Bombyx mori: one gene and its partner. The protein of the gene in region 2 interacts with the protein of the main gene of each other region in a biochemical or structural test. Links are inferred from orthologs where the notes say so. Each region holds a gene or a part of one and is shown on either strand. Other genes may lie near its edges.

Region 1 (4,345 bases), on a different chromosome or scaffold from region 2:
GAACCTACCCTGAATACCTAAAACTAATGTATGCGGCCGGCTCGAGGCGTACGCTCGACCGGTGATCTAACAAAGAATAATATAAGAAACCAGAACGCGGGTTTTCTATCTACCTAATTTGATATTGTAAATAAGTGATTATAATGTGAACGAAAACGATATTTAAGACGAAAGCAGGAAAAGCGATATTTTTTCGAAGTACCTACTTGGTACGCGGTTCTAATGATATTAGGTAAATTAGGTAACCTAGGCAATGGTTGGCGCTGATTTAATACGAATCCGGCTCGTTTGGACCAAAAAATGTAGACGCGAGATAAGCAAACTACGAAATATTTGAAATTTGGTCGTTGCAAATGAAGGACACAGACTGCGGGAAGAAACGATAAGAAGTGGCAGTTCTGCGTTAAAGGAAGGATGCACAATACCTTTATGTAGTCCTTGCTGCAGACTCGTACCACTCCGCGATGAGAAACACCAACGATTTCACTTATTTACGTATTTAACATAACAAAGACACGAAGCGCGCGCGCGGTTGTTCAGCCATATTTTTTCGTCTTTGATGTCACCACACGATCTCGCTCGCACGCATCCGTAGGTAAAAGTGCCGGAGAGGGATGGGACAGGATTTGCAAAACCAAATTAAAATGTTGCTATTTTTCGAAACTTAAAACTAACAGTTTTAAACCAGCGCAACCAATCGGCCAGGTATAAGTTAGAAAGTAATTTATATATTACTAACAACCCGCCCTCGCTTCGCGTCGGAAACTGTAATTTATTATTAATTTCTCCACTATGTAATGGATGTTATTATAAATATAAACCTTCCTCTTCAATCACTCTATCTATTAAAAAAACGGCCTCAAAATCTGTTGTGTAGTTTTAAAGATTTAAGCATACATACAGATATAGGGACAGAGAAAGCAACTTTGTTTTGTACTATGTAGCGATTATTATTATTGAAAACTGTACTTATTATTAATTACAAGACAGCTTATATAATTTTGTTCAAAATACCTTAGGGGTGATAGGTCTGGTGCGACTTTGCTCTCTTAGCAAATTCATGACGTGTGTAGTGAACTCATTGCAGGCATTCTCGTACTTGTCGAGCTCCTGATGATAGATCTGCCGTATCTGCGCCAGTTTTGCACGGTAGTCCGAGTGCTCGATGGCATTATCTGCTTGAGTAACAGTCACTTAGTTGCCGCACGACATTACTTTACAATTTTTTTTTTTTTTTAATTCTATTCTATCTATTTATACAAGCAATTAGTATTTTTACTGCACTTTAATCTGACATTCCTTGAATACCAATTCAATCAAAAGTTATTAGAGTGAAATGCTAGTATTTAATAATAATAAAAAAGGTTTTTATATCCAAATTTTTAGAAGTGTATGACATTTATCTGTATGTTTGAAAAATTCTACAATGTCAGCCAATTCTAATACTGATCATCAAAACTTTGACTTGGTTGCCCCTGACTGTTAGGCTGAATTTTGTTGGTTGGAATCCCCCATTGGGCCAATAATGTTGACAAATAGGTTTGTTTGAGTATCTAATATATATTACAGACTTAAATTTAGAAAGCCATATTAACTCTACTCCTCCTGCAAAAGGGGAATTCTAGTTTGAAGTCATTTATGATTTAACCCAAATATCCATTTATATGGATCAGACTACATGATTATGCCATTAATATTTTTATATGAACTATATATATTCTCTACGTGACTGTGATGCTTACCTATCCATAACACAAGGTAGGCAATTAACTAATAAATATAAGTTAGACATAACATAGAAACATATAGACTATTAGTAAATATTAAGACAAAAAGGTTTCCTAATTATTATATGATTTTAGAACTACTTGAAAAATTATCAAATGATGAAATATTTCCAAATCTAATCTATAGTCTAGTTTTAATTTAAGTTTACAGGTCTTTTGGCAAAATAATTGTAATGCATGAACATTTACTTTTTTAAAACCACTTTTCACCACTTTTCACTGTGATAAGAATATCTACAGACCCTTGAGCTTTTTCAGTACATCTAAACTAAATTACTCATTGGTAAGATAACTTTCAAATGTACTATTGTTAATAAATGTGGTGACTGGAAAACTATCATATAAAAAGAGCATTCAAATTTATACACGGGTTCATTGATAAATACTAATATATGATTTTTTTTCTATTCCTTTGTAAGAACTTCAACTGGAAATTTTTAAATGTAATCAATTTCAATTTACCCCATTCACCGGCCGCAGCAGATGCCGAGGCGGCAGCACCAGCACCTCCACCTTTCTCTGGTCCAGCTACACCCTCCGCAATCAACATATTGTCAAGCCTCATCAGCTGGGGATCAGGTGGCTCCTCCTCTTGAGTGTTTCTCAGAGATAGCACTGCGGATTATAGGAAGTTTATTTGATGTAAGAGTTACAAAATATATAGGAATCGTGATTCAAATGAAAATTTAATCTTCATAATTAACAATTTTTTGTTTTGGACTTTTGTATCTGATTTTATCTTTTATGTTGTTACATGTCCCTTGTTTAAGGCAAACTTCTGTAACTTGTAGAAATTGTTTATGTTTAACATCAAATGTTTATGTTATTAATGTTTATATAATATTTATATCTGTAACATCTCCATCGATGAGATAAAACAATAAATACCTGTCTTTTCTTTAATTTCACAGAGTACTGAAAACAGAGCAGGCTTCATTCTATGGCAGTTCAGCGTGTGTTTTCTCGCCTGCGCTTCATCTAAGCTTTGATCTGTAATGTTCATTATTTGTTGTAAAATTTCGCCAATGTCCTGCTTGCGAGCTTCGCCTCCTTCAGAGGCTGGTGCGCCTTCTCCTCCAGGCAGCCCATAACCCTGCGGTCCCATCATTCCGCCGCTATGCGCCATCATCCGGTTCGGATCGTCCATTGCTAACTGGTCTTGACAGTCAATACATAAATAACTTTAATGTCTTATTCTAATTACGTATACTTATTTTGTACGTGATTTTCAATTTCAATTGGTAAACCAAAATTCAAAGTAAACGTGAAGAACGAAACTCCACTCGTTGAATACCAACTATAAAATGGCCGCCTCCCTTTGTGCCAGTTTGTACTTGTGCTGTCAAATGTAATCAAATGTTTCACACTGGAAAAAGAAAACAAACAATTAAACTATACGTTAAAACTGTTCCTATCACGCTCAATCTCATCACTATGAACAGAGTAAATTAAAGCGAGAAAGAGACAACCGCTGAGATTAATGTCTAGCGTAAGCTGCTATCTCACAGATCTCACTGCCAACATAAGAGTTGAAAACTTAAACCATAACCTACCATAAAGTACGTTTAATCTATGGACTATGCAGAACATAGATTATACACTTAATATTGAGAAGTGCTTACAGAATATGAGAGGTTTCCATGGTTAGCTACTTCTCATAGTAACTAATAAGCTAATTTGTACCTGTCGTTCGAAAAAGGCCCGTGTCTCAAATGGTTTGTGCATGATCACATCACGACTTATAAAACAGGTGGTTAATCACTAACCGGTGAAGGATTATTTGAAGCACTTGTCACATTTGCAAAGCAAATAAAAATATAAATTCATATCAGTCATCAATCAAATTGACTGCACCCTCCTGTTTTATGATGTAATGGCTTTGTTTACCCGTAGTGATATTAAGAAAGGACGTGTTTATTTTAATTAGGTAGGTACTTTTAATATTAAACGGCTGTCTTGTTTTAATAACTTAATAACATGGCTATTAACTAGGAATAAATGTTTGCTTTTAAAAGAAGGGGCTTCGACGAATTCTAAAATGTCGATTAAATTAAACTATTTTTTATCGCGTTTGATATGGTTTCAAATTCACAAGAATTGTCATACTGTACGAGACATCGAGAGTTAAAAATAAAATAAAGTAAAATAAAATTTGGTACAAATGTTTTAATGTGTTTAACTGCTTACTCGAGGTAAAACCTCTAATGAGTCCACACGGGTAGTTATCACCACCCCGCCTATTGCTGCCGTACAAAATAATTGAACATTGCAGCTATAATTTTTTTTAGCAATTCCAATCTACGATTTCGAGTTCCTGGTTGGTCATTAAACATCTGCAAGCATGATGAGACTCCTATATATATTGTAAGATACTTTGCACTGGTCACCTGTTTTTCCTCTTTTAAGAGGGACAATGAGTAATTATGGAACTGACGGTGTTGGACTGTTAAATTTGAGGGGGACTGGGTTCTGTAGGTGAGGGGCCATTTACAAAACACATATTGCAAATACTTAGTACACTATTACGCCATTATAATATTTTATTTTTATAAAACTCT
Region 2 (4,277 bases):
ATATTTTTCAATATCAAGTTTTGAAGAATCGGAATGTGTAAAAGCCTCTACAGAACGAATGTGCACCAAGTAAGAAGAGAAAGATTCAAGTCGCTGTTTGAAGGGTCATAATAATTGTCGTATGATTGAAAATGAAAATTATTCCACCAAATAATTTTTCTTGTTTTTATTTTGTTCCATTTAAAAACCGCTTGTAACAAATTTAAAAAAAAGAAGTCCACGGCCCTGTAATTTAAGTCCTCAATTATATAGCAGTAAGATCGGGAGCATGTGATTGCAATTTCGAGCTTCAACTTATACCGTATTTATCGTTTGCTTCACTAAATTAGTTACATTTACAGCTCCACAATTTTTTTTTCTTTCTATATTTATAGGAATTTATACCAAATTACCTATGTTTTAGGTATTTATACCAAAAAAGGTTTACTTTACAGGTATTACAAATTAGCAAACTGTCCAAATGAACAGCAGGGACCGTTCATGGACAAGCCCGAACTTTTCATACATGCCACGTCCAACAAGCGTCCTTGTATTGTTTCGCGGCCTGTGTTGCGTGAACCCACAGTGAATTATAGCCGACGGTTCGACTTCTCATTTTATTTTGTTATTTTTTAGGCCCTGTTACTTAATTTTTATCAAGTCGCATGAATTATGACGAGGCGGGACCACACGCGTAGCATTAATTACTCGTCGCCGGCCCAGGTGAACTAATCGATTCAATCGAAATTCGAATAGGACTTCTTTTCCAGAAAAACTACTACGAATGAGAGAGAATCGATTCTTATAAGACTTAAATTCTAATCTATACCAACTAATATGCCGTATTAGATATTTTGTAAAACATTTTTAAAGCGTTATTTTATCTTTTAAGTGCATGAATTGAATGTTTACCGAAACGTATGTTTGAAGATTGAAGCGCTCTTAATGGGATGGTCATTTGTCGAATGGTCAGTGGCAGTAAGTTAATAATAATGCGCCCAAAACTAGACCGGGCCATTGACCCGGGCGGGCGGCGCGGGCGCACCTCTCCTGCCTCGTTGGGCCACTAAAATAGCGCTTTTTGCTTTACTTTATGCCTACACAATCAATTTTGAACCTGAAAAATTTCATCTTAAAGTATGTGTTAAGTATTGAAGGATTGTTAAACGTTTTATTTATTTTTAGATAGTAATAAAATAAATATACAACTTTTAATAATAAATAACTTTTATTTTATTTTATTTCTTAGCTTTATTAATGTATTTATAAAATTAATTTAAATTGTTATGGGTCAGAAAAGAGAACACAAGTAAATATCGACAACATATTTGTCTCTTTATTTTACATTCTCTCGAAATATTTTAGTGTTTTGTCGTCCGGTAAAAAAAGTAGGTATAATATGTTCTGCTAAATCTCCGTATAGTCCAGTCCAAGATTAAATCGTATTTTAATTCACAAACCTTGTTAGTTTTGTTCCAAAAAAAATTTTAAGACACGAGAACTTTATTTCAAATAATCCAGTTCCATAGCTCTATAATTTATATACCAGTTCCGTTGCTACGAACCATCAACATTCAGGAAGTCTACACCAAAGATTTTATGATCAAATCACTGATATCAATTTATCGTTACAAATTAGTAATTTGGAGGATCCTGAGTTTTGTCCGCAATAAAATTATTAATGGTACTCAAATCTGTCTCACTAATAAGGTGTTAACGAGGGTCGTTCGTTTTATGTGCTTTTTATTGACACTTGATTTGTCGGCTACCTGCCGGTTAGTATTGGACTCTTAGGAAACATTAATGGACGATTCTGAAGTGGCCCGATTATGTGTGCCAAACAGGATGGCAGCATTTTAGTGATTTTTACGGGGTATCGGACGTGACATATTTTTGTTACGCCTCTCATTTCCACTTATGTATATTAAATGTTGACGAGTTTTTTATGGGAAACGCAATATATTTTTAAATATAGAATCATAAATTTCAGTGATATTTGTAAACAAATATGTAATATACAATATTAATAGGTAGAGACTTCGGCAATTAATTTTATCAAAAAAAAAACTGCACCTACGATCGCAATAATACACTTCAATCGAATATGCAATTTCGAAAAGGGCACATGTCGCATATTTTGTCAAATACGTTTTTTCATATACATGTAGTTTTGAGGCTTACCTACACCCATTTTATAATAATTCCCGTAATTTTCAATTGCTAATTAACACTTAAAATATATTTCAAAAGTTAATATTTTAAATTTTACACTGCTTTAGAAAATAATCAGTTTTTTTTCATTTCCTGAACATTTTACATTTTCAGAGGTGTGCCCTTTTCGAAATTGCATATTCAATTTATATAGAGTTGTGATCGAGATAATTTTTTTTAACTTACTAACCTGCTATGGCCATCCAAGGGTAGAAAGTGTGGTTAGTAGGCTGCTGGTGCACTGGCTGCGCGGCTGATGCTGCTGATCCCGGAAGTGCACACTGGTTGCCCCACGGAAGCGCTCTACCAGGACTTGACGACTCACTGTATCGAGCTTCAGGAGTGCATGCTGCCGGCCTCACTAGTGCTCCCAGACCTGAGCCCCAGGCTTCTTTCCCACCATAGCCATTCTGCTGCTCACCGCCTGGCTTTGAACAATCTGCTTTAGGATATTGCTGCTCTCCAGCATAGAGCTTGCAGGCCGCCGCGACAGACGCGTCGTACGGTGAATCCTGAGGACGAGGCTGGTGCAAAGCGTGTGGCTGTGCATACGTGAGGCCCAGAGGGAAGCCGCGGTACTGGTCTCCACCACCGCCGCCCTGGTGCACTCCATGGGCCCCGTAAAAACCACCCTGCTCGAAGTAAGAGTTCATCGTGACCAGTCACAGGCACTAACGTCACTCAGGGAACACTTATGTCATCGCGGCCCCGCGCGCCGTGATAACGCGACCTCCGCCAATGTCACACCAAATACGGACAACGTAATTTATTTTTATTAATTTTATTGCCTCTTAAACGTCACTAAAGCGTCATAATGGGCTTCGTCGGCGATAAAGGCCAGTTGACGTGTGTTTACTTTTTACGATTATTTTACGACTCGGGAGCGCGTGCCGCGGGTTTTACGACTTTTTAAGCGGTTTCGTCTGCGGCGCCGGCTCGTCTCAGGACGTCAGCCGAGAGCGCGTCTCCACTGTATGAAATCAGAAGTGATCGTGGTGGTGTATGGGCCGGAGGCTTGTGTCGCGAGCGAAGTTTTCCGTCGCGTGTGGCGGGAGCGCGCGGCTGTGTGTCGTGTGCGACCGGCGCGACGCGGCTCACGCAATGTACTGAGCGCGGCTGAGACACGCGCGCCGCCCCGCGCTCACTGCTACCATCGCAGCCCAACGACTATTGTTCCGTCCCCTTTTCGCTAATCACTATAAATATTATCAGTTACGCTCTCTTTTCCTTTCCTTATCACACCCACTCGAGCACGTGGCGAACGTTCGTCAAACAAACTAGAACTTTAGCTGCTCTACTTCAGAATACCTAGGTTAATAACTGACATTTATATGACTTAAGAGAGAACTCAATAACATCAAATCCTATTATAAACTATATGTTTTCTTTTAACAATTTATGTATCTTCGGACGACCGCGTAACAAAACTTTTGAAGAGCCTCAACAAAAGCCTCAAAAATGAATAGAACGAAAAAGTTAAGCCGCAAAAGTCGTAAACTCATAAACGTACAATTAGTGAAACGGGCGAGTAAAGAAAAGATTTTACAGCCACTCGTCGACCGTGCCACAATGAGCGTTCAGTATCGTAACAAGGTGCTGAATAGAGTGAGAAGTCGTAAAGATGATTATTATTTCTTCTACTACCTGTTTTTACGAGTGATGTTTCTATTGCTCTCTTGCTTAAGGCGCCCGTTCGAGAGCGAAAGGGACAGCGCGTCGAGCGCGGAACGGTTATCATCCGAGCGGGGCTGATTAGTGTATAGCGGTCTTGGTCTCGCGCTGTGTAGCGCATGCAGTGGACAACGCACTATCGGAGGGTAAACAATAGCGCATTATCGCGAGTTCACTTCGCGCGACCAAATGAAGTCGTCAAACGAATGAATGGTGCGCCCTACCCTTAAGAATTGAACGCATTTTTATTGCGCCTTCGTATGTAAATATTTCCTTTAGATCCGGGTATTGAGACGTTTTTTTATTTATTTATTAAAAATGATATATGTAAAATGACAAGTTTAACACTTTTATTTTAATTAATAGATAATGGTGGTTTACGTTTCATGAATTAAATATACTTAAATTTTTTATGA

What was found. The genes of interacting proteins can lie anywhere in the genome.
Region 1: the proteins of Ubx (region 2) and homeobox protein extradenticle are reported together in a solved structure, tested with the Drosophila melanogaster proteins (2 studies listed by BioGRID). The link is inferred for Bombyx mori from reciprocal best matches to the Drosophila melanogaster genes Ubx and exd.

What each region holds. Positions count from the first base shown.
Region 1 is NC_085121.1:1,663,005-1,667,349, forward strand, and holds the start of homeobox protein extradenticle, read right to left. Parts: upstream 2,935-4,345; coding exon 2,676-2,934; intron 2,403-2,675; coding exon 2,250-2,402; intron 1,179-2,249; coding exon of another isoform or gene 1,176-1,178; coding exon 1,015-1,175; intron 1-1,014. UniProt on the Drosophila melanogaster protein: Transcription factor which acts with the selector homeodomain proteins altering the regulation of downstream target genes such as wingless (wg), teashirt (tsh) and decapentaplegic (dpp), thus affecting segmental identity.
Region 2 is NC_085112.1:6,103,939-6,108,215, forward strand, and holds the start of Ubx (ultrabithorax), read right to left. Parts: upstream 2,844-4,277; coding exon 2,381-2,843; intron 1-2,380. UniProt on the Drosophila melanogaster protein: Sequence-specific transcription factor which is part of a developmental regulatory system that provides cells with specific positional identities on the anterior-posterior axis. Binds the consensus region 5'-TTAAT[GT][GA]-3'.